4 linked regions of the Notamacropus eugenii genome follow. The protein of the gene in region 3 purifies or fractionates together with the protein of the main gene of each other region. This does not show direct contact. Links are inferred from orthologs where the notes say so. Each region holds a gene or a part of one and is shown on either strand. Other genes may lie near its edges.

Region 1 (7,482 bases), on a different chromosome or scaffold from region 3:
ACTTTAAATTCCATATTCTCTCCCTCTTTTCCTCTCTTCCCCATTTAGAAGCAGCTAGGTGGCACAGGGGATAGAGATCAGGGCCAGGAATTGAAGAGACCTGGGTTCAAATATGACCTCATATACATACTAATAGTGTGACTTTGGATGCCACTTAACTTCTGTTTGACTCAGTTTCCTCATCTGTAAAATGAGCCAGAGAAGGACCTTTACAAGATTTTTGATCCAAACTGACAGAATTAGAGGGTAACTTAGCCACTGGCTGGTCAAGAATGGATGACCCTTTAAAAAAGCAGGATATACTTTCTAGGAATTGAATTGAGGATTGAATAGGGAAACAGTTTTGGAGCAATGTGACTGATCTCTGTGAGTCCAGAGAAAACCAGCTCTGGATATTGAGAGTTGAGCTGCTGAGGGAAACAGGCTGGGAGAGTCCCGCTGAGCAAACTACCCTGCAGAGACATTGAACCCAGAGCAAGCAGCATGATGACCTACAAGAAGGGAAAGGACCCTGGGGAGCTTCAGATAAGTTGCCTTGGTCCCATGTATTCCCTAAGTGTTGGCCTCTCTACTAGTGTGTTCTCAGTCTTTTCACTAACGCTGTGTGTGGTTGTGATATGTTTGTTTGGTAGGAGACTGCACCGCTGGTTTATGAAGGGAATGTGTTGTTACTGTTATTTCTGCCATTTCAGAAAATATTTTTCTTTTAACCTAAGTGTGCCAACCTGATGATTATTAGAAGTAAATGCTCTGGTGGGGGCTCATGAGCAACAGTTTTTACGAGTGTAAAACACAGAGTACCTTAAACCTGTGGGCAGTTGCCCCCTAGGGATCCACCCATGAGTTAAAGTTGGAGGTATTTCATAAAGGGTATAGCACTTGGCATTGAAATTACTAAACTAAGCCACATTGATTCTATTCTATCTGCTGCCCCCATCCCTAAACACCTATTACAAGGTAGATGATTAATAGCTGGTGGGTTGTTATCCTTAATACTCAAAGAGGACTAAAATGACATCACCATGTCAGCATCAGTGTGTCCAACTGTGGTAATACAAGCCTAAAAGGGTCTGTCACTGGCTGAGCACAAACAGACCACATGGACATTTGGAGTGGAGACATCTCTAAATTGGCATGTCACCTTTCTTTTGAGCTACTGCAATTCTGTTTTACTCATAGAACACACACAGGACCTTCTTTGATACTGACACACCATATTGGGCAGTCCTATGCCAGTGTCTCCCATGCCTCACAATCAATTCCAAAGCTCTTCAAAGAGACCTTGAGAGTGTCCTTGTATCACTTCTACTGACCTCTACGTGACTGCTTGTCTTGTGTGAGTTCTTCTTAAAATAATCTTTTGGGTGAACATACATTTGGCATTTGAACAATGTGGCCAGCCCATCTGAGTTATACTCTCTCCCACAGAGTTTGAACGATTGTCAATTCAGCTCAAAAGAGGACCTCAGCATCTGGTACTTTATCCTGCCAGGTGATCAGAATCTTCCTACGACAATTCAAATGGAAGCAATTCAGTTTCCTGGCATGGCGCTGGTAGATTGTCCAGGTTTCGCAGGCGTACAACAATGAGGTCAGCACAACAGCTCTGAAGACCTTCAGTTTAGTAGGCAGTCTAATACTATTCTCTTGCACTTTCCTTGGGAGCCTCCCAAACACTGAGAGAGCCTTGGCAATGTGTGCATTAACCTCATCATCTACATGTACCTCACTGAAAGTATAAGGTAAATGAACTTATCCACAGACAAGAGCTGAGATGTGTGGCCTAGAGTGCTAAACCAATCATTGACTTATCCTCCCCAAGCTAAACATTTAAATTCAACAAAAGCAGTAGCTCCAAGGCAAGTTGACTACCAGAAGACCTTATGTCAATAGATTAGATTGATTTTCCGTGGGAGAACAGTTTATTGCTAACTTGGAGAGAAGGTTGAGCCAACATATGGGCTGGTAATGACGAGGTTGAGGGGTGATGGGGAACCCCCAAATACAGACAGTCTGGGTCGTGCTCGAATGAATTCGACTCAAGCCTTCTTAAAGCCAAAGAAAACAAAGTTTATTAAAGATTCGCCAAATTGGGTTGCCTCTTAAAGAGCCTAAGCATTTGTGACGCTTGTATTCACAAGTGGGCCAGATGGAATCTCAGCTAGACAGAGTCTGAGCTGGATTGCATCTGAGCGCCTTCATGGAGGCAAGATGGAACTTAAACACAAAAAAGGGTATAGGAGGGATCTGGGGGGTGGTCAAGTAGTCCAGGGTGATGGGAGGAGGGGTTTAGGAAGGGTCTTGAGGAGAAGTCCCAGGAGGAAATCCAAGGAGGGTCAAAGGCTGGAAACAGCTGGAGGCTATCACAAGACAGACTAGGGGGCAGACTAGGGGGCACCTAGGTGGGAAGCAGGTGGGGCAATCCAGAGCTCTTGATAGGGGCTGTATGGGAATGGATACAGATCTTGAGGGGAGTGGTTGGTAGACTGGGGAATGGGGTTTTGATGGGATCAAGGGTGGGGAGTGCAACAGAGACCTGAGAAGAATGATAATGAAAAGCCCATGGGCTTCCTGAGACTGCTGGAACAAATGGGAAGATTAGATTTGAGTAAGAAAGGCCAGATTAAGTGGGAAGATTCAAGGGGAGTCAAAGAGGCTCCCAGAGTCTGAACCCCATCAGTAACAGTGGAGCAGAAAAAGAGTGGGAGCTGTGTAAACCGTGGCAACTCACTTCATCTCAGAGTCTGTAAAAATGTAAAAATGGGAGTGATAACATCACAAGGCTGTGAAAAAAGAGTTTTGTAAATTTTAAAGGACTATGGAAATTGTTCTCTGAGCCTCCTATGTAGTTTTCTCCTGTGTAGATAGATATGTCAACCAACAAATATTTGTTAAACATTAAAATTATATACTAAGCACTAGAGATAGTAAGAAAGGCAAAAACCAGGCCTTTTTCTTGAGTTAACTCAGACAACAGGTAAACAATTAAGTACAAACAAGCTACATGCAGGATAAACTGGAGATAATCAATGGAGAAAAGGTGCTAGGATTAAAAAGCTTCCTGCGGAAGGTGGGGTTTTGGTGGGGACTTGAAGGAAGCCGAGGAGGACCATGATATCAGGAAGGTGATACTGTTGAGGTTCAGGGCTGCTGGGGACCCCGAAATACTGACACGCCGGGTTTTGCTCGAATGAATTTGACTCAAGCCTTCTCAAAAACAATGAAAAACAAAGTTTATTAAAGATTTGCCATATTGGTTGACTCTTAAGGAGCTTAAGCATTTGTAAGGCTTGTATTCCCAAGTGGGCCAGATAGAATCTCAGCTAGACAGAATCTGAGCTGGACTGAATCTGAGTGCCTTCATGGAGGCTAGAGGGAACTTATATACAGAATGTGTGTGGGAAAGATCTAGAGGTCTGGGAGGAGGGTCTAAGGAGGATCTTGATGGGATGAATTGGGGTAACTAGGGATGAAATCCAGGGTGAGAAACAGCTGGAAGCAAATGGGAAGTATCAGACAATGCAGGGTCTGGGTGGAAAGTAGGTGCAAAAGGTAACAGACAATGGAAGGCCACGCTAGGCCAAGGGCAACAGATTTGAGTATGAAAGGCCACGTTAAGTGGGAAGATTCAAGGGGAGCTCAGGGAGGTTCCCAGAGTCTGAAGCCCATCAACACCATGACCTGCAAGTGAATTGGATTTAAGTGAGGCAGGATTGTGCAAGGTCACCAGCCTCACTTTCTCCTCCAGAGCCATCTAGGTGCAGGGACCAGAAATCCAAGGGAAAACACCGAGAAAGCAGAGAGAGAAGGTCTTGTTTGTGGAACTATCAGGAGACCAGCGTTGCCAGATCAAAGAGTACAAGGTAAGGGTGTAAGACGGTTAGAAAAGTGAGCAGGGCTTTGAATGACAAACTGCATTTTGTATCTGATTCCGAGGGCAACAGGGAGTCCCTGGAGACTTGTGTAGGGATGATTTCATCGTGGAAGAGGGGCTTTCTGTCTGGTTTGCGCCACTTTATCCGGGTCTCGGGGTCTTATCTGTGAAATGAGGCTGTGAAACGTGGATCCTGAACGTTTCCAAGGACGCTCTGGGATGATGAGTAAAGCATCGTGCAAGTGTGAGGAAGGCGAAGACTAAAATAAGGGCTCTGGACGTAGTAACAACAAGGGCAGTTGTTCATCTGTGAAATGGGGACGGGACACCTCCCCGGCTGCGCTCGCGGCCCGCTGTCAAGGGGCCAGGCTGGGAATGAGGGCTGGTGCCTCGCCGGCCCTGGCCCCCAGAGCCCAGGCTCCAGGACGCCCCGGGAGCGCACCCACTCTGGCAGCTCGGGACACCCTGCGCGCAGGCGGCTGATGGGCGCCAGTGTCTCCGCAAGGGCAGCAGGGGGCGCTGCCGCCTCGGCCCCAGCGCCCCGCTGCTCTCGCTGCCGCTCCCTGTACTGTCTCCTCCCCCATCCCCGATCCCAAGCAAGGACTTCCGGCGAGGGCGGAACCTTGGTGTCGCTGGGTGTGAGGCGCGGGCGGAAGAGCGCGGAGAAGCGCACTGGCGGCTGCCGCAACTTCCGGAGTGAGGTAGAGGTGGCGGGGGCAAGATGGAGACCATCCTCGAGCAGCAGCGGCGCTACCATGAAGAGAAGGAGCGGCTCATGGACGTCATGGCCAAAGAAATGCTTATTAAGAAGTCCACGGTGAGCGGCCGGAGGGAGGGCGGCGGGACGAGACGGGGAGGGAGAGGAAAAAAAAGCGGCCACATCCGGGATCCTGCCCCTCCCCCGGCTCCCAGGATCTCCCGTGTGCCAGGGACGCGTCCAGCCTGGGGGTCCCGTTCTGTCCGGGGGTGGGGGGGGGGGGGTCTGGAGGAAGGGAAATGCCGAGCGTCCCCGGCGGGTGGAGGCTGACCCAGGCTCTTGTGTCTTCCCCCTTCAGCTCCGGGACCAGATCAACTCGGACCATCGCACTCGGGCTATGCAGGACGTGAGTGCTGGGGCGGGGAGGGGCCGAAGGCTGTTGGAGCGTAGGCCCCCCACTGGGCAGGCCCGGCCGGCCGCTCGGGGAGTCCGGGTCCTCCGCGGCTGTTTGCGGGTGGTCTCCCCCGTGAGACCGGGAGCCCCTGAAGGGCAGCGACTGCCTGCTTTTGTGTCTTTCCCTGCGTCCTCCGAGTTTGTTATTAAGTTATTTTAACTAAATCGTTAAATTTATTAGTTATTGAAATTAAGTTGTTATTAAGTTTGCTGACCGAATTAATTTATTAATTTCGTATCATTTAAATGAATAAACTGTTAATAGCGGCTTATTGACCGGCATAGCGGGCGCCTAATTAGTGCTTGTGCGGCGAGGCACCAGGCCATCCGTGGTCCGGCAGAACTTGTGGGCCTGGCACTGTGCTGAGGGCACAACAGCAAACAGTCCGCTTCTCAAGGCGGTCACGGACCAGTGGGGATTGGCGTTTCTCCTGGGGCTTCCTTCCGACTCAGTGACCACTAACCACCCTCTCTGTGCAGAGAGGTAGGTTCGCTTCTGAAGGGAGCCGCCAGAAGGAAGAGGTTGGACTCTCAGGAGTACCCCTGGGCAAGCATCTGGTCTGTCCCCTGCCTGACCAAGACCTCTGCCTTGCTCGCCACGCTTTTGGACGATCTAGGCCCCTCCTGTGGTGCCTTTACCACAGCCGATAGACCAGCTCCGCCTGGGATGGGGAAGACCTGAGTTCACGTGCTTCCTGTCTGTGCACCCCTGGGCAAGTCGCTTCACCTCTGTCTGCCTCAGTGTCCTTATCTGTAAAATGGGAATAGTTCTAGCACCGACCTCCAAAGATTGTGGTGAGGTGAAAATGAGATGGTGCTGGTCAAGAGCTTTGCAAACCTTACAGTGAAATATAAATGGTAGCGATTGTTATTAGAACGTTTATGACCTCAAGCAAGGCATTTCACAACTTAATCTTTGGTGTTCTCTTTTCTGAAACAACTGTAATCATATTTGCACAGGATTGAGTAAACCACTTGGCGACCTTTGAAATATTGTGAAGTGTTATGTTATTAGTTGTAGTTATAGCTGGAAATAAGGAACGTGTAAATATATTTTGCGTTATTTTATGCATATAATGGGTATTGTACTTTTTTTGTTGCTGCCTTTTCATTGGGTGGTGGAGGGAAGGAGAGAATTCAGAACTAATTTTTTTTAATTGATTGTTAATACTACCACTTTTTTCACCACCATTACTACTACTATCGTACCACCAAGCTTGCCTTCCTTTTAGACTTATCTTTTAACTCCCTTCTTTTATATACAGTTTTCATCCCATCTTTGAGGAAGCTGCTCTAGCTTTGAATATAAAAAGTCTCTAATAAATATGTTCCCACTAATGTCTTGATGACTGAGGCCAGCATACTATGCTCTTCTTAACTCTCCACTTAGTTAGATTTTACTAAGGTGCTAGACCAAAAAGTAATATTAGAGAATGATGATGGGTTAGTAGAGAAAGAAGTTAAATGGGGAATAGACCTTCATTCTCAAATTATGTCATAAATAAGGCCGTTTCCAGTCATCCTGATGAATATCTGGTCACTGGATCCAGATGGTTCAGGAGGAAAAGTGAGGCTGGTGACCCTCACTCAAAACAAAGTCAAGTGCACACGGTCTTTTCGATAACCAAAGGATGAATACAGCAATAACAATATAAGTAACATCTTTACTGTCTGCTGAAGTCCTTGTGTCCCTTAATTTATCTTGAATAATCACTGAAGAGTCTTTGTTGGATATCCAACTATGTGGCGACAGAAACTGCTTTATGTTGATACAGTGTTTTTATTTGGTTTTTTTGCCTTTTAGAGGTATATGGAAGTCAGTGGGAATCTGAGAGATTTGTATGATGACAAGGATGGGTAAGTGGCAGTGCTGCGCCATGTATGGGTGATTGTGGGGTGCCAGTGTCAATCAAATTACTGACCCTGGTCCTTTGTTTTCTCTTTTGGTCCCTTTGGGAATTTCAGGTTAAGAAAGGAGGAACTCAGTGCTATTTCAGGACCAAATGAATTCGCAGAATTTTATAATAGACTCAAACAGATAAAAGAATTCCACCGGAAGCACCCAAATGAGGTAAGCATAGACTTTCAGAGTGAGCCAAGGGATACTTGAGAAAGAAGTAGCAGGGAGGAGGAACACTATTGATCTTTGGTTTTGTTTTGACTCATCAGTTACCTAATTTGCACCTTTGAATTGTTTTGATGACCTACAACAGTTGAGCAAGTGTCAGTATATTTGTCATTGAAAGACAGTGTAAGACAGACTTTGGCAACAGTTGTCTCTGTCTTTCCTTGTTTGCTGTATTAACACCTTTTCCTGTAAAATCATGTATGAATGTAGAGAATATATATATTTTTATTGTTGTTAGTATAGTATGACAGATAGGTGTTTTGGTGTAGTGGCACAGTAGACTGCGGGACTTAAAGTGAGGAAGACTTGGGCTCAAATCCTGCCTTGGAT
Region 2 (7,690 bases), on a different chromosome or scaffold from region 3:
AGCAGACAATTTTCTCGTGTTCTGTTTTTTCTCATGATTTCTCCCATTCATTTTAGTTTTTCCATGCAACATGGCTAAGGTGAAAATGTATTTAGGAAGAATGTATATGTAGAACCCATCTAAGACTGAATGCTATCTCAGGGAGGGAGGGGGAGGGAGGGGAAGAAAGGGGGAAAAAAATCTAAGATTTATAAAAGTGATTGAAGAAAACTGAAAAAAAAAAATTAATTAAAAAAACCAGTTCTCCTTTAGGCCTTCAGAGCTACCCTCAAGTGAATACAGGTCATCACTGTGAATGACTACAAGTGAAACAGATGGTCTTGGGGAAAACATCAGGCTGATTTAAAAGAAATTACCTTTACTTCTACAACTTCAAATAAAGTAAGATCAAAAAACCCCCAAAAAACAAAGAAGTAAAGGGATGAGAAAACAGGAGAATCAAGTTGGCAGGAAACAGGCCATAGCCATGCTATTTTTCTCAAAGAAAAATATACTACTTGATTAGTTAAAATAGAAAAACCTCCTACTCTCACAAGTTCTCTCTATGGGATCACATATCATCCCAGGAACAGAATTAGGAATTGGAGGGAGGTTGAAAGGATAGGAGGGACAAGGGAGGAGCCAAGTGCATAAGATATAGAAAAAAGAGAAAGAGAAGAAGAGTCAAGATGTAATCAGCCCCTTCCCCCTCATTTGTCCCTCTCATTCCCAGCACAGAACACCTACCAGGATGAGGCATCCCACCTGGTGGGAATGGATGTGGATGTGAGTGTCCATGTCCAGGATGTCCTGCTCCAGGGGTTCCTGTTGATGGAGGGCCATGGGCTCCAGCCCCAGGAGGCATAGGTGGTGGAGGCATGGCTGGGGGTATTCCTGGAGGAAGAGCTCCAGGAGGTGGCACTGGAGGTGGGAATGAGCCTGGTGGGGGCATACCTAAAAAGAAATATAGAAAGAAGAGTCTGTATCAATAAACCAGGACAGAAACTTTGTCCCACCATGTCCCCCTATTCACATGCCACTTAAGAAAATGACCTTCCCTCTCCACAAATTACTCATACAATAAGAGGCAATTTAAACAAAGATCTACAGCCTGGGCATTATTATCTCCAAGCCTCCCATCTCCAAACCCTTACTTCACTTCTTCACCATACTCCGACTATCCCTTCCGTCTCCTTGTCCCGCCAGCCTTGGTCTACCCCTCACTTTCACACGCCCAATCCATGTTTTACCTGGCGGAGGAAGCCCAGATCCCAAGGAAGACACAACAGGATTGGGGGCGGACGGTGGAGGTGGTGCATCCGCAAACAGCTGGTGGGGCCGATCCGCCTGGGACAGGGGGTTCTGGGCTGCCAGAAGCCGCTCGGCCGCGGAGCCGTGCCGTTCCCCCTTAGAGTCCTTCTTGAAGGCGTAAGACACTGTGATGGGCCGATTACACAGATACTGCCCGTTCATGGCCTCAATCGCTGCATCGGAGGCATCGAACGAAGCAAAATTAATAAAGGCGTAGCCCTTGGAGTTGCCTGTGTCAGGGTCCCGCATAATCTTGGGGGTCTGCAAAATAACCCCGAAGGCGCTGAAGGTGTCATAGAGCAGCTTCTCATCGATCTCGGGGTCTAGGTTCCCTATAAAAATGTTGGCCCCCACATCGAGGTTCTTGTTGTGAGCTGACGCTTTGTTCACTCGTATGGGCTTCCCGTACAGCTTGATCATGTTCATGATCTTAATGGCGTAGTCCGCATCCTCCTCGCTCAGGAACTCCACAAAGCCATAGCCTGGAGAAGGCCAAGGGCGGAAGGTTAGACTGGGCGCGCACCGTCCGCTAAGAGCCCCGAGGGGACACCATTTGTCCCACTCCCGCAAAAAAAAGAAAGCCCAGGGGCACGTACGGGGAAGAGAAGAAAAGAGCGTGCTTGTCATCGCAGCGGAGGAATCCAAGCCAAGGAAGCTAGAAGCCGCACAAAGTTTGGAGAGACGAGAGTAAAAGCCTCGCTGACACTGGCCGCCCGGGGGCGCGTGGCCTCGCACGCCCCTTCCCTCCCCCATATCCTCCCCCTCCTCACCTTGGTGCTGCCCCGTGACTCTGTCCTTGGGCATGTGCGTGTTGACCACGGGCCCCGCCTGCAGAAAGAGCTCCCAGAGCAGCGGCTCGCTGACCTTCTCGTCCAGGCCCCCCACGTACACCGTAGCATCTGCGGGGCGAAGGGATGCGGACGTGAGAAGGGGGCGGGCCACCGCCGGTGGGCAGCGGTGTCCGACCAGGGCCGGGCCTCACGCTGCCTTCCTCAGGCGGCTTCTCCACGGCCCGGGGGGCAGGTGCACGGGAAACCCGCGGAGCCCTCCCTTCCCGCCTCTCCCCTCTCCCCCCGACCCGCTCGGCCATGGGGTCGCGGAGGCCTCCGGGCCTCTGCGACGCGGCGAACCCGCTTCCCCAGCCCCCGGCCCGGGCCCCCTCAACGAGCCGGGCTCGGGCCCGTGCGGACGCGGTTCCGGGCTTCCCGCCTCCTCCCCCACTCACCCTGATTCCGTTCGGAGATGGGCCCGGCCGCCATACTGAATCTGCTCCCGCCGTCTCCAGGCAGCGGCCCCGCAACGGGAACTTTTCCGCTTCCGGGGCAGCGGTAGGGGCGGGGCTGCCGGAGGAGGGCAGCGTGAGACGCGGCGGCGGCCATCTCGGAAGCGCCGGGCGTGGGCTGCCATGTTGGCTGAGCTGGCACGGGCCGCCTGAGGCAGGGCTCGGAGTCCTACCATCAGGGGCTTCCTCCACGTGACTTCGGGGAGGGTCTAAGTAGCGGCTCTCCTCCCCCACTCCCAGCCCCGACCATGAACCACAGAAGCCTGAATGGAATAAACCTTTATTTTTCAAGATAACTAATCACAAGATCTTGACATTCTGACCGCCACAGTTTATCTCAGTCTCCCTCACCTCACCCCCAAAGAGCGGTACGAGGACCACCCCCAAATCGAGGTCAATCATGATCAGGACCTAGAAAAGCGGCTCCTGGCTCACAGACACCGAAACGCCCCCTTTCCTCCTAACCAGGCGGCGCCGAAAAGTTGCCATAGCAATGGGGGGCGTTTCCGCCCCCAACCCAGAGTTTGTGCGAATGGGGGAAGTGGGGCTGAGAAAGGGAGCGATGTGGAGCTGGAAAGAGCTTAGGAGTCCGTCCGGTCCAACCTCCCCTCAAGTCCACAACTGGGTAAACTGAGGCCCAGGGAGGTTTAGTAACCTAGGAAGGGCTCTGACGTTGGCAGCTTTGCTAAAAAAAAACAAACCACCCCCCCAAAAGTCACGTGACGGCGCTGCTGATGCTGCTGCCGCTGCTCCTGCTGCCGCTCCTGCTGCTGCCGCTGCCGCCGCCGCCGCCGCCGCCGCCGCCGCTGCTCCTGCTGCACGATCCTTCCTCCGGCCAATGTCACGCCCCGCCTCCAGCCCACAAGTCCACACCAAAATGAAAGCCCACCTCATCACAATGCATCGCTGCCAAACACACCAACGACTACTATTAGCAGGCCTCTCCCCCTGCCCAACGGGCATCCTCCAGCCCGAACCCCTCAGGATCTCCCTGGCACCCTAACACAAAGGGGGCCTAAGGGGCATTGATTGCACTAGTTCCTGACATCCAACGCCTGGCCTCTTCTTGGCACAGATGCTGAGCTTCCTGACCCTGTCTGTGGTCCAGCTCATCAATGTCCCACAAGGGTCCCTGGATGCAGCGGTGGGTCTGCTCTACAGCCATGGGTCTAGAGTTAGGAAGACCTGAGCTCAAATCCAGCCTCAGATGTTACTAGCTATGGCAAGTTTTGGGCAAGTCACAACCTCTGTGTCTCAGTTTCCTCCACTGTAAAATGGGAATTATAACAACACTTACTTCACGGGGTGGTTGTGAAGGTCAGAGTGAGCTAATTAATATTTGTAAAGCTCTTAGCACCGTGGTAAGTGCTGTATGCTTCTTTCCTTCCCTGCACTAGGCATCCTCCCTGGATGGTGGACTGTAGTTTTATAATGTATGGGCTTTGCTATATCCCGTACACACTGAGCATATTCATATATTCATACCTGTATAGGACCCAGTCAGTCAACTAGCATTTAGTGAAGCACCTACTATGTGCCAGGCACCATACTAAAGGCTGAGGATACAAAGAACGGCAAAAAATCCATTCCTGTTCTCAAGGCCGTCATGATCAATTGAGGAAACAAAATGCAGACAACTATGTACAAACAAGATATGTACAGGATAAAATGGGGGTGGTCTCAAAAGGAAGACACTAAGATTAATAACTGAGAAAAATGTCTTGAAGAAGGAGGGACATTTAGCTCAAAACACTAAACTATTCCATTACAAATTTTATTTTATTGGATTCCTTCAAGTTCCCAAGTGTGTACCATGCTCAAACTATATCTGTAACAAAGGATTTAAGGAGTAAACTCCTTCTTGTTAGCCAGTCCAGAACCATCCCTATTCTACGTGTTATCCTCATTTAAAGGTTTGGTCCCATACTACTTCCCACCAACTTCTAAATCTTGCTGGAGGTCTAAGGCTCGAACCTCCAAGAATTCAGATCTTAGCTTATTTCACAGAGTTTGATCTTTGACTTTAGCCTGACCTCCAATACAATTGAAACTCTTCTATATTACTCCCTGAAAAAAGTCACTGAGAAGTCTTCTTAATCTAGGCCATACAAGGGTTAACCTGTATATAATTGGGCCCCACCATAATTCTCACTTGGTCCCTTCTCCTCATTGCCTTGTTTTCCCTGAAACTAATATTGGCATTGGGTAATAAATGATCAGTCAGTTGGATGATGATGCTTGTGCCCACATATCATTCCCACAGTACAAGATTTTCTGTCCCCATTTTCCCGACTTTATCCTAGCACCTATTCCCACATTATTCTTCTCAGAAGCAAAACCTATAGCTTGTATAAATATTTTTCATTGATGGTTTCTGTCACTACCAAAACATCTACATATGGAGGTGGTAGAGAGTCTCCCAATCCTACTCAGAAGCCATAGAGAGCTGAGACTGGAGCATGAAAGACCTGGATTTCAAATCCATCCTCAAACACTTACTAGTTGTGTTGACTCTAGGCAAGTCACTTAAAGTCTGTTTCCTTAAATGAAAAATTGGGATAAAAATAGCATATACTGTGCAGGGGTGTTATGAGAATCAGAAGAAATCACAGTTGTAACCTAATATCTAACACATAGTAAGATCTATTCCCTTTCTTCCTCTCTCTTCTCCATTCTATTTCCATAGAAAGCTGCAAAGAGAATAACTAGAAATTAAGAAGTAGAGAGATAGGCAGAAGGAAAATTAGGATTAGGTCTGTAGGAGCCATGTTGGTGAGTCATAACCAGTACCTCCACTTCAAATACTATACAACCGTAAACACACAAAGGATAGGATGGTCTTGAAGGGAGCAGGTTAAGATCCTAAATAATAAGATAATTACAAAGAAAAACATTTCAGGCACAAAACAGTCTCTGGGGAGTTGGAGGGAGGAGCAGGTGTCAGTGTTGGAGTTGACTCAGAATCATAGTTTCAGACCTGGAAATAGCCACATATTCTAGTGTGTACACACACACACACACACACACACACACACACACACACACATTTGGGACACCCTGTACATATAATATTTTACAGATTAAGAAAATCAGCTCAAGATAAGTGATTTGCTCAAGGTCACACGGAGTCAGAGCCACAAGAAGAATACTTAGCTCTCTCGAGCCCCAGTCCTGTGTGTTTAACAGCCAGCTAGCCCATTTAAGAATAAGACTAGATCTCTAAGATCCCTTCCAGATCAAAATCTGGTTCTGTGCTTATGGGCTAGGGGCAGGGCCAGAACAGCAGGTTAAATCTTATTATGCTTGTTTGGTGATTGGATAAATTGGGAGGGTGGAGTTTAAGGCAAAGGGAAGATCCAGCAGATCAAAGAAACCTAGAATCCTAAAGAGGGCCAGACATCTCATCGGGATGGAGACAGGGGGTTTTTGGTTTTCTGAGCCCCAGGCGATGTCCCTGAAGACCACATCCTCAGCAGCTCCTGGAGCTGGGCCAGCTCATCCAAGAGTCCAGAGACTGTTGGGGCCGATAGACCTGTCTGAAGGAGAGAAGGGGACAAAAAAAGATGTCATTGCAGAGCTGTGCAGCCACGCCACTCACCCAGTGCCTTCACTGTTTCTAATATTTCCTCCAATCCCCTTGCAGTTCCAGATTTCACCAGACTGCTCCAACATTAAAATAAGTATCTTACATTCAATGATTGTTCCTTGAAAGGATGTTTCAGTTTTTTACCTTTATCTCCCCTGTACCTGGCACATAGAAGGGACTTAATATGTTTGTTGACTGATGTCCTGCCAAATTTCCTTCTTTTGGCCTCCACTTGCCACCCCACATTCCTGCCTTTGTATACCAGTCCTACCTGGATCTCAGGTCGCCCTCTTAGGTAGCAACGTCTCCAAAGTCTGATCTGGGGCCCTTGGAATCCAGGCAGCAGAAGTCCTGGAGGCAAAGGGGAGGGCCCCCAGTGAGGAGGGAGTCCCCACTCCTGGTCAGCCAGGCTGTCAGTGGATGTATTGTGTCGAAGGAGCCATCGTGACGAGGACATCAGTGAGGAAAAACCATCTCGCCAAGGACAGAGCTGGTTCAGTGGGGTCAGAGTTCCCCGGGAGAAAAGGAAGATGGATCGTGGAGGGCCAGGAGTCGCTGGAGTTGGCTACAAGAAGCAGAGAGTCAGCTCACTACCAAATAATTCAGTTCTGGAGTTACAGCATCTTCCTGAAGCCTCATCTACCCTCCCCCATGGCTTAGGGCTAAGACTTCAGAAATAAAAATGGAGGGAATATTGAATTAGGGGTGGCTTCTTCACAGGCTAGGTGAGAAGAAACTGGAGAAAAAGGAAGAAGACCACCAAACTGCCTCTTCATCTCCTCCTAGAGTATCTGTGCCTTTGGGGGACACTTGGGACCGTGAGAATCGGAAGCAAAAACTAACGAAACTATTTCTTCCCCATCTTCCTAATTCTTTCTCTCTTGTTACAATGAGGCTTACCTGTTCTTTAGGGGGATAGGAATCTGAGCAGTGATGTGGGTCATAACAGGGGTTATAGAACTGAAGTATCTGCTGATGGCTATATCGAAGACCCCAGTCCCAGACAGTTGGTGGTCTGGGGACAAGGTCTCCAGCTGAAGACTGAGGGGATCCTGGTGTATACACCTGCGTATAGGAGCTGAACTAGATAGAGGAAGGAAAAAAAAGAGGACTAGTTAAGCCTCGGGAAACTCCACCATTCTCTCAGATTAAAGGGGCAGTATTATAAAGCAACACCTACACAAACATGTACACACACGCACATACACCACCACCACTACCACCCAAAAAATCAAAGGTCTTGGAACCTCAGTGACAAAGATCATGCAGTCGCTGACCAGGCACCTTCCCTTACTTCTAATTCTCTTCCCATTTTCTTAGCACCCAGCAAAAAAAGCTCATGATTAAAACTCAGGGAGAATAACCCAGGAAAAGCAAAGAGAAAGAATCACTTACCTGCCCACTCTGCTTTGCCCGTTCCCAGGGGGTGTCTCTTAGGAAGGTGGGAGTATCAGGAACCCTGACACTATCATGAAGGGCCAGGAGAAAGAACTCTGAGAATTCAAACTCTTCTGGAAACTGATGAACCAGCT
Region 3 (6,954 bases):
TCATTGCTTAGTTACACCAACAACCTTCAACTTGGGATGCAGAATATCATTCATTTCACAAGTATTTCTTAAGTACCTATTATGGGCAAGACTATCTGAATGAATTTTAAAATCCATACTATCTCTTCTCCAAGAAGATAACAGGAAAACAATCTGAGCAAATGTGTCGATAGAAATATGACCTCCAAAAATTCTGCCTTCCAAATGGGTGACATTAACTTACCCAAGGTTTCTAGAAAAAGAAAAAAACCTTAAAAACCCAATTATGCTTCTGGCCTCAAAGCCCAAGTTGCAAATATGAGACTTTACTACTTCAGATCTCAAAATACTAAGAGTTAGAAAAGCAATGGGTAAAAATGCAAAAGAAGGTGGTCTAGCTGTGCCAGATCTCAAACTGTATTATAAAGAGGTAATTATCAAAACAATCTGGTACTTGCTAAGAAACAGAAGTATATCTCAAACTATATTTTATAAAGCAGTAATTATCAAAACAATCTGATATTGGCTCTGAAACAGAGTGGTGGGTCAGTGGAATAGATTAGGTACAAATTACATTATAGTAAACAACTATAATCATCTAATATATGATAAATCCAAACATCCAAGCTTTTGGAACAAAAACTCATTTGTCAAAAACTGCTGGGAAAACTGGAAAACAGTTTGGCAGAAACTAGGCATAGACCAACATTTCACACTGTACATCAAGATAAGGTCAAAAGGAGTATGTGATTTACACATAAAAGAAAGGGTGACCTCATAAGCAAATTAAGAGAGTACAGAACAGTTTATCCGTCAGATTTATGGATAGGGGAAGAATTTAGGATCAAAGAAGATATTAGAACACTACAAAATATAAAATAGATCATTTTGATTATATAAAATTCAAGTTTTGTATAAGCCAAACCAAAGAAACCAAAATTAAATAGGAAGCCGACAACTAGGGAAAAATTTTTTGCAGCAAGTATCTCTTACAAAAGTCTCATTTTTCAAATACACAGAGAATTGAGTCAAATCCATAAATGTACAAGTCATTCCCCAACTGATAAATGATCAACGGATATAAACAGCTTTCATATAAAAGAAATCAAGGCTATCTATTGCCATATAAAAATGCTCTAAATCACTACTGATTAGAGAAATGCAAATTAAAACAACTCTGAGGTACCTCTTTACACCTATCAGAGTGGCTAATATGACAAAAAAGAAAATTTTGGGTGTTGGAGGGCATGTGGTAAAACCTAGATACCAATGTTCGGTTGATGGGAGTTGTGAACTGATCCAACCATTAGGGCTACCAAACTGTGAATACCTTAGATCCAGCAATATCACTGCTAGGTCTATATCCCATAGACATCAAAAAAAAAGGGGGGGTGGGGGGTGGAGAAGGGCCCATTTGTACAAAACTATTTATAGCTGCTCTTTTTGTGGTAGCTAAGAGTTGGAAGTCAAAGGGATGCCCACCAATTTAGGAATGGCTAAACAAGCTGTAGTATATAACTTTAATGGAACGTATAAGTAATGACAAACAGGATGATTTCAGAAAAACCCGGAAAGACTTATATAACTGATGCACAAAGAACCGAACAGAACCAGGAGAACGCTGTGCATCGTAACTGTGAATGACTTGACTATTCTCAGCAATAACAGTGATCCAAGACAATCCCAAAGGACTAAGGACGAAGCACAACAGCAGTCTCCGGAGAAAGAGCTAATACTGACTGAACAGAGACTGAAACACGCTCTTCTTCACTTTTTTTCATTTTTTTCCTGTCGTCTTGTTCAGAATGACTTATAAGGAGATGTTTTAAGTAACTGCATACGTATAACCTACATCCGATGGCTTACCGTCTCAGGGTGGAGGAGGGGAGGAAAGTACAGAATTTGGAACTCAAAACGTGAAAGAAAAATGTTTAAAAATGGGACAGAAAAGAAGATAGCAGCGGAAACCACGAGGGGTGCTTCCACGATGACCAGGATCAACCCTTCCAACGAGGACAGGGAAAACCCGAAGCCCGCGGGAGCGCGGCTTAAGAAGCGGAAGTTGTCCTCTTTTAGCATCCACTTTGAAAGACTTTGAATGGATCCGCAAGCCGCGTCTCCGGCTGGGGGCTCGGCCAGCGGACACGGACGGACATACGGACGTACTCACACTCACACCAACACAACTCACCACGCGCGCGCCCTCCCCGGCCCACACCCGGCCCACGCGCCGCTCTCCCTTTCCTGGACTCGGCCTCGGGTCGCCCTGACAGGCCTAACCCTGTCCCCCGCGGCCCTCAGCTCCTTGGTCCTCCGGAAAGACTGCCGGAGGAGGGCGAAGAGGAATTCCCGGGCCTGAGAGAATCGCTCCGGCCACGAGGCTCACCGATCCCACCCCACCCCCTCCCCGGGCAGGCCTTGCTCCCCAGCAGCTCCGAAAGGCCTGGGGAGGGGAGGGGGGGAAACTCGTGCCGGGCCCTTCGGCCTCCCCGGCTAGGGCTGGGCCTGGAGTTGGCGCCGCCACCCGAGAGGGTTCCCGTGAGAGCAAAGCCTCCCCCGGGCCGCCTGCCACGGGCCCGAGATCCGAAAGAAAATACCGGTGATCTCGGGCCCAGCCGAGACCTCGTCTCTGCCCGCCCCAACATCAACAAAGCCCGGCGCCCCCTCCCGCCTCGGGCCGGCCTCGCTTACCCATCGCTCCCCGCACGTTTCTTGCCGGAGGGATAATCTTCCCCTAGGTCTAACCGGTGCCGCTTGGACATGGTCGCGCTGGCACAGCGGCGATGGAAGAAGGAGTTTAAAAAGGGAACGAGAGGAGGGGCAACCGGCGGCAACAGGGACAAGGGCGATCCTTCGTTCCGGGAGCCCCCCCCCCACCTACAACAGCCTCCGCCGTGCGGCCGGGACCAGAAGGCAAAATGGCGGCGGCGGCAAGGACCGGGCCTGCGCGCGCGCCTCCGTCGCGTGCGTGCGTGCCTGGGTGCGCGCGCGCGGCGTCCCGCTCCTCGCCGTTTCTCTCTCGCTCATTCGTCCAGCCGACCGCCGCACAACCCCGTCCCGCCTTTTGCTAGGAAGAGGCGAGGAGGGGGAGGGGCAAGAAATAGCCCGCCCTCTAGGCTTGTCGTGATGGGGCACGTAATGCGAAAAGGCTGCTGGGAAGATTACCTCGGTGTCACCTCCACCCTCAGTGAGGAGGAAAATCTTGGAGAAGTGGCGGGAGGGGGTGGGGGAGAAACCCACGTGTTGTGGAAAGTTGGGTTGAATGAAAGGACGGGGCTGTCCAGGCGCAGAAAGGTGGAGTCCCCCCTCCCAAGCTCACCTTGCCACATTGTTGCCAGCTGAGGAGCGTGGGAAAGGACCCCCTCCCCCTAGGAGCCTAAGTTTCCCCATTAGCTATTGAACCACAGAGCCTCCCCATGGGAAGCGACCTACCTCCCAAACCATCCAGCCAGTGAGTCTATCCGCAGGTACTGGCAGCGCGCTGGGCGATGGGCCAACTCAGACCTGAACTAGAAGACCCCAACTTTGAATGAGGGGACGCTCCCTCCCTCCAGAGGTAACCCGTTCCAAAGGAGGTGAACCAACACTGCTCAAAAGGAAAAGAATTGAAATAGTCAATAAGCATGAACAGAGGCTCTAAATCACTACAGATAAAGGAGAGTCAAGCCCATGCCAAGCAAATGTTTCAAAGTGGACAAAAGATGGAAATAATTAATGTTGGAGTATTGCGGGAAAGTAGGCACACTACTAATCCATAGTGGGTGGAGCTGTGGTTCCTTCTGCAAAGGGACTTAGAATTTTGAAGTAACTAATGTGTCAGTATCCTTTGATCCGAAGATCTGAGAAATATTCCCAGAGGGTCAAAGATAGAAAGTCTCCCTGTGTGTAAAAATGTTTATGTCAACATTTATAACTACTCCAATAAAACAAAATTTGAAACAAAGTAGGCTTCAGCAGGTTGGGAAATAAAGGGTGGTACAATAGAGTATTGCTCTGCTGTGAGAAACAGTTTATATGAAGAATACAGAGAAACATTGGAAGCTTTTAAACAAACTGATGGAAAATGAAATAAGTAGAACTTAGAAAATAAGGTGCACGGATTGAAATAGGTAGGTGGTCTTGAGGATAGTCAGGAAAACATAAATACAGATCTTGTCTCAGACACTAGCTGTGTGGCCCTGGGCAAGTCCTTTGACTTCTCTCAGCCTCAGTTTTCTCATCTATAAAATGGGGATAAGAATAACAAATATTCCACGTAGTTGTGAGCCTCAAATGAGGAAGTATATGTAAAATGTTTTGCAAAAAATTTAGTTATATGTTTGTATATAGTTTTTTTATTATTATAGCAATATAAATGGAAAGAATAGAAAACAATGAAAATGAATGCCATGTTGAGTATAATGACCAAACTTGACTCCCAAAGATGTAATAAGACTGCAGTGGAGAGTTGGTAGACTCTAGGTATGGAATATTAATTACTTAATGATGCCTTTATAAAGTGCTTAATCTGTGGCACTATGGTAAGTGCTAGGGATGCAAAGCAAAAGCAAAAACCTAAAATAGTCTTTATCTCACGGAGCTTATATTCCATATACTGTCAGACTCATTTAATGTGTTGGTTTTGGAGAACTGGTTTTTTTTCTTTTTCCTTTTGTAACAAAGGATGATTTTCTGAGTGGGAGCGAGGAGAGGGATGTATTTGGAATTGAAGATGATCTAAAAATAAGAGCTAATTTTTAAAAAGTAAATCTCTCTTTAAAAGAAGAAAGTTGCTGAAGTGGAGCTTTAGACCTCGCAATGAGGTATAAAATCAATCATGGAACTTCAAAGCACAAATAAAGCCATTATGAACTTTAAAAGAAAAAACTTAAGACAATAACCCAGTTTTATGCCTCTAGGCTATTTTTGAGCAAAAGTTTAGGAGAAAGACTGTGATAATCCTAGTGTGTCCCATCAGATTGGTCCCAGATTTGAACTATTTTCTGCTCTGAAAAACATCAAAATAAAGTGGAAAAGAGCACTTTCATCTAGCTCATCCATAAGAATTGTAGGAGAGACTCTATGAAATGCTCTACAGAAATATAAATTATATCAGTATTTTCCTGATCTGCCAGTCTAGTAATCATGTCAAAAAAAGTTAGTCTGGTATGACCTGTTCTTGATGAAGCCATGCTGGTTGTTCTCTTTTCTTGAATTCTGTCTCAAATGAATTACTAGGTGTGTTCTTCCTATATTTTAGCTCCTATCTGTGTTATCTAGCATGGTAGACATACACTCACTGTTTTCTCCCACTCTCTTTACTTTAAAGTGTTTTAGAAAGAATATTACTAGTATAATACTGTCTACCCTGGCCTGAAGTCCAGAGTTGTACAATACCCTTAAATGGTGTAGGGTATTTAGGCTCCAGCCCCACCAATGGTGTTTCTTCCAGGGAGTGATTCTTTACATCCCAGTTCTGTTTAGCTACATATCTATTACATTTGCCTTTATAAGGGAATATTTGTTTCAAAGGTATAATAACAAATATACAGGCATATTCTCCAACAGGCAGAAAATAATTCCCCAACTCCCATTTTTCACTACCTCATATTCTGGGGTGAGGAGGAAGATTAGATTCATAGCTTAGCTCAGTTCCTATAAAGCACGGTCCAGTTCCAAGTCCAAACATACTTCAGTCTGAAGTCCCAGCCACCCTGACTTCTCCAATTTTCTGTACCAGCCTGGCCAACTGCAACATCTCACCTGGACTCCTGGCTCCAAGGTAACTATGGCTTGAGCACTCGCACTAATGGGGATCACCACTGGCACCTGAAACTAAGAAAGACAAATGATGCAGAACAAGGACCTCAGACCTGTTTCTGGGAGGCAGGGTAAGAGTATATCCTCTTCCCAGTTAAGTTCATTGTGCCCAGCCCTTTGGTGACTTGGACCCTCTGGACACAGCAGGAAACAGTGAGCTTGTAAAGAGAGACTCTCAGTCTGGCTAGTTTTAAAGATGTAGCCTTTTCTGGTCACATAACCAATAAAAGGAGGCTACATCCACTTACATGGTAGGAAAACACCGGAGGCAGAGTATGCTTCCATGTTAGGTAATCATAGTATGACCAGGGTAAGCCCTTTACACTAGCAATTTTGGGACCCAAGCAAGCTTCACAAAATGTGCTTTAAATTACCTTTTTTAAAAACCAATTCTGCTGGGAGATAGAGAAAGACTTCAGGGAAAAGACTGTGATGGTAGATACCCTGAAGGCTGAAAATTCCACCTTGGGGACTGTTGGGTTGGGAATGAGGGTGGGAATGAGAGCAGAAAGCTGGTCACTTGATGGTTTCCTATTTTAATTTCTTTCATGCTAGATAGGTATTAAACTCAGTTGTTTCTATGCTGCTGAGTGAATATAAATGCTGTCAGGTCCTTCTAAATTTATGGTTTGATCATTCTTATTTGCAACTCTCCTGGAAGCAAAAACTAGATGATCACCTGTCAGGTCTGCTGAATAGGGGACCCCTGTTCGTGTATGCTTTTAGATTAGATAACTTCTGAGGTATCTGCCAAGTCTGGGATTCTACGATTTCTTGAACAAACTTTCTTTTGTTTCTATCAATTACTAGAGCTAGATGGAAAGTTGAAACAGCACTAAGGAAAACAAGGTTGGAAAAAGCAGTGATGCTTTGTAGTCCAAGAATGCATAGATATTCAAATTGGAGGTAATACAATTTTGAGAGCATTGAGGGATTAATTCTCAAGATACCTGAAAGAGGGGAGAATTTCCCAACGGGGGAGGAGAAATGATTACCAAGAATAGGTAACTAAGAAAAATATCAACAATTGCTGATCTAGAGGCCTCCTTTCCCACCTCCACAAAATCTTTCTGAGCATAATTCGCACTTACCTCAAGGAGATCTCCTTGATGAGGTGATGAGTAGTGAGCTGGCAGACCATCTTTGTACAATTGCTTAGTTGATTGAAAGACCCTG
Region 4 (6,929 bases), on a different chromosome or scaffold from region 3:
CCAGGAAGGCCTCCCCAGGGCACATGGTACCATGTCTGTGTCTCGCAGAACCTTCCTCATCTGCTGGTCCTCCCAAACGTCCTGAGCCTCCCCCTCTGAGTTGCTGGAAGCTAGAATGAAGAAGGGAAGGCTGAGGATGGCCCCTCAGCCCTCAAACCTGTGCCCTCTGGAGGGGCCTCGGCCTTCCCCACCTTCCCTGTGCCCTTCCAGCTGAGCCCCCAGTCACCTTTTTCTTCTTGTAACATAACATCTCAGGCCTCAAGTTTGGGCCAGGCCAGGGGGCCCCACCACATCCCTCTTCTGCTAAAGGCATGATGCTGCATGACCTCCTCAGACAAGTGCAAAGGCACCAGATCTGAAGCCAAAGGACCTTGGTTCAAATCTCACCTCTGACACTTATATCAGACCTGCGTGACCTTGAGCGAGTCACCTTCCTGGGCCTGTTTTCCCCGCTAAAATGGGGAATGGGGTCCAATTTACAAGAGTAGGCAGTTTCAGAGGAACAAAGTTAAAGCACCCTCTGAGGCTCTTCCTCACGCCCATCGGAGCAGGATACTCATGCCCTGTTGATGCAGCTGCAGCCCATGGATCCGATGGTTCTGTGCAATCCAGAACAAGGAACCACACCCACCCTCGGACCCTAGGCGCACACCCTAAGGAGACCAAAGAAAACAGAAATGCCTGTTCCAGCTCTTTGGGTGGTGGCAGAGTACTGGATATGAGAGCCAATGAAGGGGATGGATTCCAGAGCAAGGCACCCTCACCTGCTTCGCCAGCCCCTCTGAGTCTCAGGGAGTGAATCCCTGCTACTCCAGGGACAGGCTCATCGTCAGAGTCGGCATCGTTGCTCCCCTTTAAATCCAAGACGGGGTTCCACGGCCTCTCACTCAGTGGCAGGTAGTCCTCTTGTGCCTTGGCTCCCTTCTGCTGCCTTCTTCCCACCACTCGGGCTTGCATTGGGTCAGCGAAGCCCCCTGTGACACAGGGGACCAGCAGCATCAAGGACCCTCATTGGCCACTGGTAGCCCCCCACAAAGGACTTAGGTGCACTCTCGAGCCACTACCAAGCTCTTCTGCACACGAGAAACCCACCTGCCAGCCCAGAAGTCACCACCCTCCTTTCCTGTGCAAAGTCATGGAAACCCCTACTTCCCAACACACAGATGCACAGGTCAGGGTGAGCCCTGTCCCGAGTGCTCTCAGGCCAGCACTGCAGGAGAACCTGGCTTCCCCTCTCTGGCTCAGGCTCAGAACTGGCCACAGCACCATGGGTTCACCCAGGTGGACCAGAGCGGACTGCTCTGCTGCACCCTATGGGACCATCCCCGAGACCTGTGTCTGTCCTTAGAAAAAGTGCCCCTTTCCCACCTCCAGTCATGACTCTTCCCCAGGAGGCGGCACAGGATGCAGGACAGGAGGACCTTGTGGCCCTAGATCTATGGCCTGTACTCTGCATCTTCCCTAAAGGACCCACAGGAACTGAGTGAAAAGGGTCAGGGAGAGCCTCTGGGTCACCCCGCAGGGTTCAAGGAAAGGTTTTGGTTGAGCAAGGACTCCTCAGAGGATGCAGATCTGGCCATGGACATCGCTGGTCAGATCAGGAGGGTCTGGCATCAGACAGGGAGTGCCAGGTGACTGCTGATCGCCCAGCAGCCCCAGGACTGGCCCATGGGGGCCACGCACCTGGCCAGTCATCCTGCGCTCTTGGGGAACGAGCCTCCTCGCCAGATGAGCTTCCCGAGAAGTCTTGGGCTTCTGCCCCGGTGTCCTCATCCTCATGGCCAGGCGGCAGGGGGGACTCTGGGGGACAAGCAGTGGCAGCGATGCTAGTCAGCGCCAGGCAGCCAGTGGGGGGACCTGGACAGGGGGAGCTCCCTCAGAACCCCTCAGCGCCCTTCCTCAGGCCCAGTCCAGGCAGAACGCGGGCCCTCCACAACGGGGAGGATCCCTCCAACAAGGCTGATTGCAGCCCTTCCCTCCCCTGACCTTGAGCCCCAGGCTAACACTTCTTCCCTGGGGTGGGAGCTCCCCCCAAGACGCCAGCAGGGGTTCCAGCAGGGGCGCTCACCATTCCTTTCTGGAGAACTGGAGCACCCCTGCACACCTGGAGGGGCGGGTCCACACCGGGAGGTGCCTGGAGACAGAGTGGGAAACTGAGGCAGGGCAGCGAGGGTGGGGCCAGAGGCTGTGGCCTGAGAGTCTGGGGGCTGAGGGGCGGGGAGGGTCCATGGGGACAGGGGATCAGAATGAGGGGTGCCTGGGGTGTCTGCGTCATGACCCTAACTTGACAGGGGAGGAAATAGGAGGGGGTTGGAGTTAGCTCCTGCCCCTGCCCCGCCCGCACTGCCTCAGTTTCCTTCATCCCTGCACAACCCTCGAGGGGCCCCTCCCCATGGAATCGATGAGGTCATGCATCCGTGGAAGACGGGAGCTCTCGGACATCGATTGAGCTTCCCTGGAGCTCCGCGCATGCGCCAGGAGTCCGCGTGTGCGCACGCACCCTCCCCACCCCATGGCTGCCCTCGCACGGACCTGCGCGGCGCGAAGTCGCCCAAACGCGGGCGCGGCCGCGACTCCGCGGAGCCCCGAGTGTGCGCTCGGGAGCGCGGCCGCCGAGGCCCGAATCAGGTGTGGGCCCAGGGTCAGAGTCGGGGTCGGAGCTGGAGCCTGAGTCCGCCTGGCGCTGGCGGAAGTTCCGCGGAGGTCGCTGAGACATAGTCGACAGGTACTGCGCCGGCGCGAGGCCCCGCTGGTTCCGGCTCCCCGCAATCTGAATAAGACACTTTCGGACCGACGCGCCTGCGCAGTGGGCCCGCACGCCATTGGCTCGCGGTCCTTCCTGGCTCCGCCCCACCTGGCTCCGCCCCCCACCAGCTGTTCCAGAGCCCTCCCTGTCCCCGGAATTGAGAGGGAGGAAGGGAGAGAATTTGGAACTCTGTTTTAAAAACAAATGTTAAAAATTGTTTTAACATGTCACTGGGGAAAAATAGAATAATAAAAAGAAAGGTTTTGGTTGTGAGATCACCTCCGTCGCAGCAGCTCAGAAGCGCCCGAACTCCGAGGCAGCGTGCCCGTGCCCCTGCATTCGTGGGCACGGTGGCTCCTTGGGGAAGGCAGGAGGAGGAGGGATCCCTTCCCTTTCACGGAGTCTCTGTGCCATGTGGCAGCGGCGCCCTGACGCCTCCAGCAGGGTCTGCCAGCGCGGGGTCTGCCAGCGCGGGGTCTGCCACGCAGGCTTTTAGGTCTGCTTTTGTGAGAGGGTCTTCTGTGATCACGTACACCAGCGGAGAAATCAAGCAGTGCTCAGCAGACGGAGCCTGGAGAAGTCACAGACTCAGGCATCCTGGAAGTCACGATGGGAAAGAGTTCTTAGGGCACCTGCCTGCAACCTTGGAGGGGTACGGTCAAAGCTTGTGCAGGATATTTTATAGCAAACGTGCCAAATGTGCCAACTAGGTTATTCAGGGCAGGATTAAGCAGTGGTTAAGGAATAGTTAGTTCTTAAAGGAACATGCACTTTTAGGATATACTGTGCAGGCATGTTACCCAAGGGGCAGGCCTACATGGAGGTGTGCTTTTAGGCCTCAACCAGCAGTCAGGGCTGACTGAGAAATACCCGGGCTGCTCCCATCAAGCAAGACAAACATAAGGGAGTAAACACATGTCTGAGTCTAGGATACATGTGATTGATCTTTAGGACCCAGTACACAGCCAGTTCAACCAGTACATAGATGGTTCAAACTAATAAATTGTAGAGGTGCAGCTGGCTGTTGTAGCAGGCAGAGAGATAAGGGTTTGGCTAGGGCGGGCTGTCCTTGGGAGACGGTGTATTGAGGCTAGGGAGAAATGTGATGTTAGGGTTGGGCCGCCCATCGTGACCATTACATACACACATAGTTACCAGAGAGAGAACCATAGGCACCATGTGCTCATGGCCATGTGGCAGCCCCAGACGAGGCAGCCAAGTTATGCCTGCATCTGATGCTGATGGTACCTCTCTCTTGTCCTGCAGATCTATAGCATTTTTTCCTCATCATTCAAAAGCCGATCGGGAGACAGCATTTTTCCTTTTAGTCATGCATTTGATTTCCATGCTCAACAAGTAATTATGATACTTTTAATTAGCCTAAAATTAGTGGACAGGAAATAAAGATTACCACCTAAGTGGAAAGGTAACAGGCTACCCCATATCACACCCTTCTTGAAACATGCTTACCAAAGCTTTTGTGGGTTAGATCATAGGCACAGACTGCTGCCCAAGTTCCAAGAACTGTGCCCCCATGTCAGACATGGCTCTTGTAGGTGGGGGACAGGAGAGAGGAAAAAATAGATAATTCAATCAAGCTCTGACCTTGATTCAAATCTAAGCCCTATGGAGCACTCTCTGAAGGCTGGAGTGTTCCAGGAGGAACTTTTTGGTGGTGTGGAAGGAGGAAAAGACCTGCAGTGTTCACTGGTTGTGCTTCAGTTCAGCAGCAGTCAAGCACCAAGGCTGGGCTGAGGAAAGCCGGACCCTTCCCAGGAATGCTTGAGGGGTTTGCATTCATTGTTCTGGTGTCCAGGCAGAGCCCTGCAGGAGCAATGATGAAACGTGGAGAAGGTGGGCGGAGTGATAATGAACTGAAGAGAACTCTTTCTTATTGGTTTGGAAGGGGGCTGGACTGCCAGGACTCACCAAGGTCACATCAAAGAGCAAACTGAGGGAGGCCAGAGAAATGAACTGACTTGCCCAAGGTCTTTCCCTGCCCTGTGAGAGAGCACCCTTCCCCTTCAGCAGCTTATAGACCAGTACATGGAAGTTAGCAGGGTTGGTCAGGAATCATGAAGAAGGGACATGATCACGTTGCCCCCTCCTCCATGCCCATCACCTTGTGGACACATCAGGGGCTCTCTCACCCTTTGGCTTTGGATGCCCCATTTGGCGTTGGCATTGGATGAGCGGCGCAGGATGAGCCACTGACCCGCATCTACATCATTTTTCTTAGATGCCCTCAGACTCCTTCCTTAGTCTTCCCTCTCCCCCTCTAGTGTCTCCCCAAAGGGCAGCTTGGACCAGTCTTTCTCACTAGATTTCTGTGATTCACGAGATTCCTGCTACCACCACAGTATCAGGGCATCCTATTATGTCTTCTTAACAATGGATAATTATAATTTTTTAGTTTCACAAATAAGACACATTTCATTTATTTTCACTTTATGGTTAATTTTTTCTACAAACAATACAATTTTAAAAACCTATTTATTTTGATGGTTCTAACATTTGTGGAGCGCTATGCCATCCATGTTATCTATCGAGCATTATTAATTCTTAGCCCCAAGGGTCCACGAGGACTGGCTGGGATCTAGAATCTTTGGGATCCACAGGCCTCTAGGGCAAGGAGTCGTGGCTGTAGGACGCCGGGGCTGGCGGGTGGCATGACCTCCGCGTGGCCTCTGAGCTGGTGGACGAACTGCCCCCACTGGGAAGCCACCGACTCAGACTCAAAGGGAGGGCACGTGCAGGGACTTGTGCAGGGAGCAAGTCCGCACCCCTCTCGGCCAGGCCCCGCCCCTATGGCCCCGCCCCCCTCGCTCTCCCAGTCTCCTTGGAAGGTCTCCTTCCTAGACCACGTCCCTCTTCTCTTCAGGCCCCGCCCCTCCTGACCTCATCTTCCGCCTCCACATTCCCATTCCTGGCCCTCCTGCCCCGCCCCTCCGCCCTCCAGGCTCCGTCCTCATCATCCGGGCCCGCCCCCTCGCTCTCCCAGTCTCCTTGGAAGGTTTCATTCCTAGGCCCCGCCCCTCCTGGCCTCGTCTTCAGCCTCCACGGTCCCTTTCCCCCGTCCCCCTCCCCTGTCTCCAGGCTCCGCCCCCGACTTCCATCTGGAGGATCGTCACATGACGTACCGACGGGCGCGGTGACGTGAGATGACGACGCGATGACGTAGGGGCGGGGCCGGGCGGCGCTGACAGGCGGCTCTGACAGGAGCCGCAGCAGCTGCTTAGCTGTGGCTCGTGGCCCGTCAGCCCCTGAGCGCAGTCGGGGCCCCTGGCTCGGGTCCTCGCGGACGGCCGAGGGAGCCGCGGAGGCGGTGGCGGAGGCGGAGCAGGCGGCGGCAGGTGGGGGCGCGCGGGGGGCGCGGGGTGGGGGGGGTCACGCGGAAGCAGGAAGCAGGAAGGAGGCCCCGCTTCCGGTGGAGACTGCCCGGCTGCTACGGGGGCGGCGGCGGGGATCGGGGAGGGGGGCGGCCCGCGCGTGTGGGGGGGGCCCTGCGAAGGGGGGCCGGGGGGGGGGGGGGTCACTCGTCCAGGAATGGTCTGAGGGCGGATTCGAACTCGGGTCCTACTGACTCGGGCTGTGCGCAGGACGCGGGCCCGGCTGACGGCAGCGATCAGGGGTGGGAGGTAGGGGCTCCTGGGATGGGGGGGCGCCGCCCCTCTCCCCCAGTGACCTGGCTGTGATGACCCTCCCCAGACCCCGCCCGCCCTCCCCCAGGCTTTGTGCTGATTGCCGCACTGCGGTCCTCCTGGTCCCCCTGTCAGACCCTCCTCCCCTCCCCCCGTCAGACCCTCCTCCCCTCCCCCAGTCAGACCCTCCTCCCCTCCCCCAGTCAGACCCTCCTCCCCTCCCCCAGTCAGACCCTCCTCCCCTCCCCCCAGTCAGACCCTCCTCCCCTCCCCCCAGTCAGACCCTCCTCCCCTCCCCCCAGTCAGACCCTCCTCCCCTCCCCCCAGTCAGACCCTCCTCCCCTCCCCCCAGTCAGACCCTCCTCCCCTCCCCCCAGTCAGACCCTCCTCCCCTCCCCCAGTCAGACCCTCCTCCCCTCCCCCAGTCAGACCCTCCTCCCCTCCCCCCAGTCAGACCCTCCTCCCCTCCCCCCAGTCAGACCCTCCTCCCCTCCCCCCAGTCAGACCCTCCTCCCCTCCCCCCAGTCAGACCCTCCTCCCCT

What was found.
Region 1: the proteins of DHX15 (region 3) and SF3A3 fractionate together in Homo sapiens (co-fractionation; 3 studies listed by BioGRID and IntAct, with this or other methods). This does not show direct contact. The link is inferred for Notamacropus eugenii from reciprocal best matches to the Homo sapiens genes DHX15 and SF3A3.
Region 2: the proteins of DHX15 (region 3) and SF3B4 purify together in Homo sapiens (co-immunoprecipitation; 4 studies listed by BioGRID and IntAct, with this or other methods). This does not show direct contact. The link is inferred for Notamacropus eugenii from reciprocal best matches to the Homo sapiens genes DHX15 and SF3B4.
Region 4: the proteins of DHX15 (region 3) and GCFC2 purify together in Homo sapiens (co-immunoprecipitation; 3 studies listed by BioGRID and IntAct, with this or other methods). This does not show direct contact. The link is inferred for Notamacropus eugenii from reciprocal best matches to the Homo sapiens genes DHX15 and GCFC2.

What each region holds. Positions count from the first base shown.
Region 1 is NC_092876.1:81,241,418-81,248,899, forward strand, and holds the start of SF3A3 (splicing factor 3A subunit 3), read left to right. Parts: upstream 1-4,462; 5' UTR 4,463-4,595; coding exon 4,596-4,691; intron 4,692-4,929; coding exon 4,930-4,977; intron 4,978-6,828; coding exon 6,829-6,881; intron 6,882-6,989; coding exon 6,990-7,095; intron 7,096-7,482. UniProt on the Homo sapiens protein: Component of the 17S U2 SnRNP complex of the spliceosome, a large ribonucleoprotein complex that removes introns from transcribed pre-mRNAs.
Region 2 is NC_092873.1:303,754,632-303,762,321, forward strand, and holds the start of SF3B4 (splicing factor 3B subunit 4), read right to left. Parts: upstream 3,008-7,690; 5' UTR 2,670-3,007; coding exon 2,516-2,669; intron 2,190-2,515; coding exon 2,061-2,189; intron 1,773-2,060; coding exon 1,230-1,772; intron 934-1,229; coding exon 727-933; intron 1-726. Other genes in the region: MTMR11 (myotubularin-related protein 11), read right to left, coding at 5,974-6,108, 6,430-6,723, 7,059-7,241, 7,554-7,690. UniProt on the Homo sapiens protein: Component of the 17S U2 SnRNP complex of the spliceosome, a large ribonucleoprotein complex that removes introns from transcribed pre-mRNAs.
Region 3 is NC_092877.1:77,379,325-77,386,278, forward strand, and holds the start of DHX15 (ATP-dependent RNA helicase DHX15), read right to left. Parts: upstream 3,017-6,954; 5' UTR 2,742-3,016; coding exon 2,671-2,741; intron 1-2,670.
Region 4 is NC_092872.1:761,642,490-761,649,418, reverse strand, and holds the start of GCFC2 (intron Large complex component GCFC2), read right to left. Parts: upstream 3,014-6,929; 5' UTR 2,717-3,013; coding exon 2,533-2,716; intron 2,135-2,532; coding exon 2,069-2,134; intron 1,858-2,068; coding exon of another isoform or gene 1,801-1,857; coding exon 1,684-1,800; intron 975-1,683; coding exon 765-974; intron 111-764; coding exon 31-110; intron 1-30.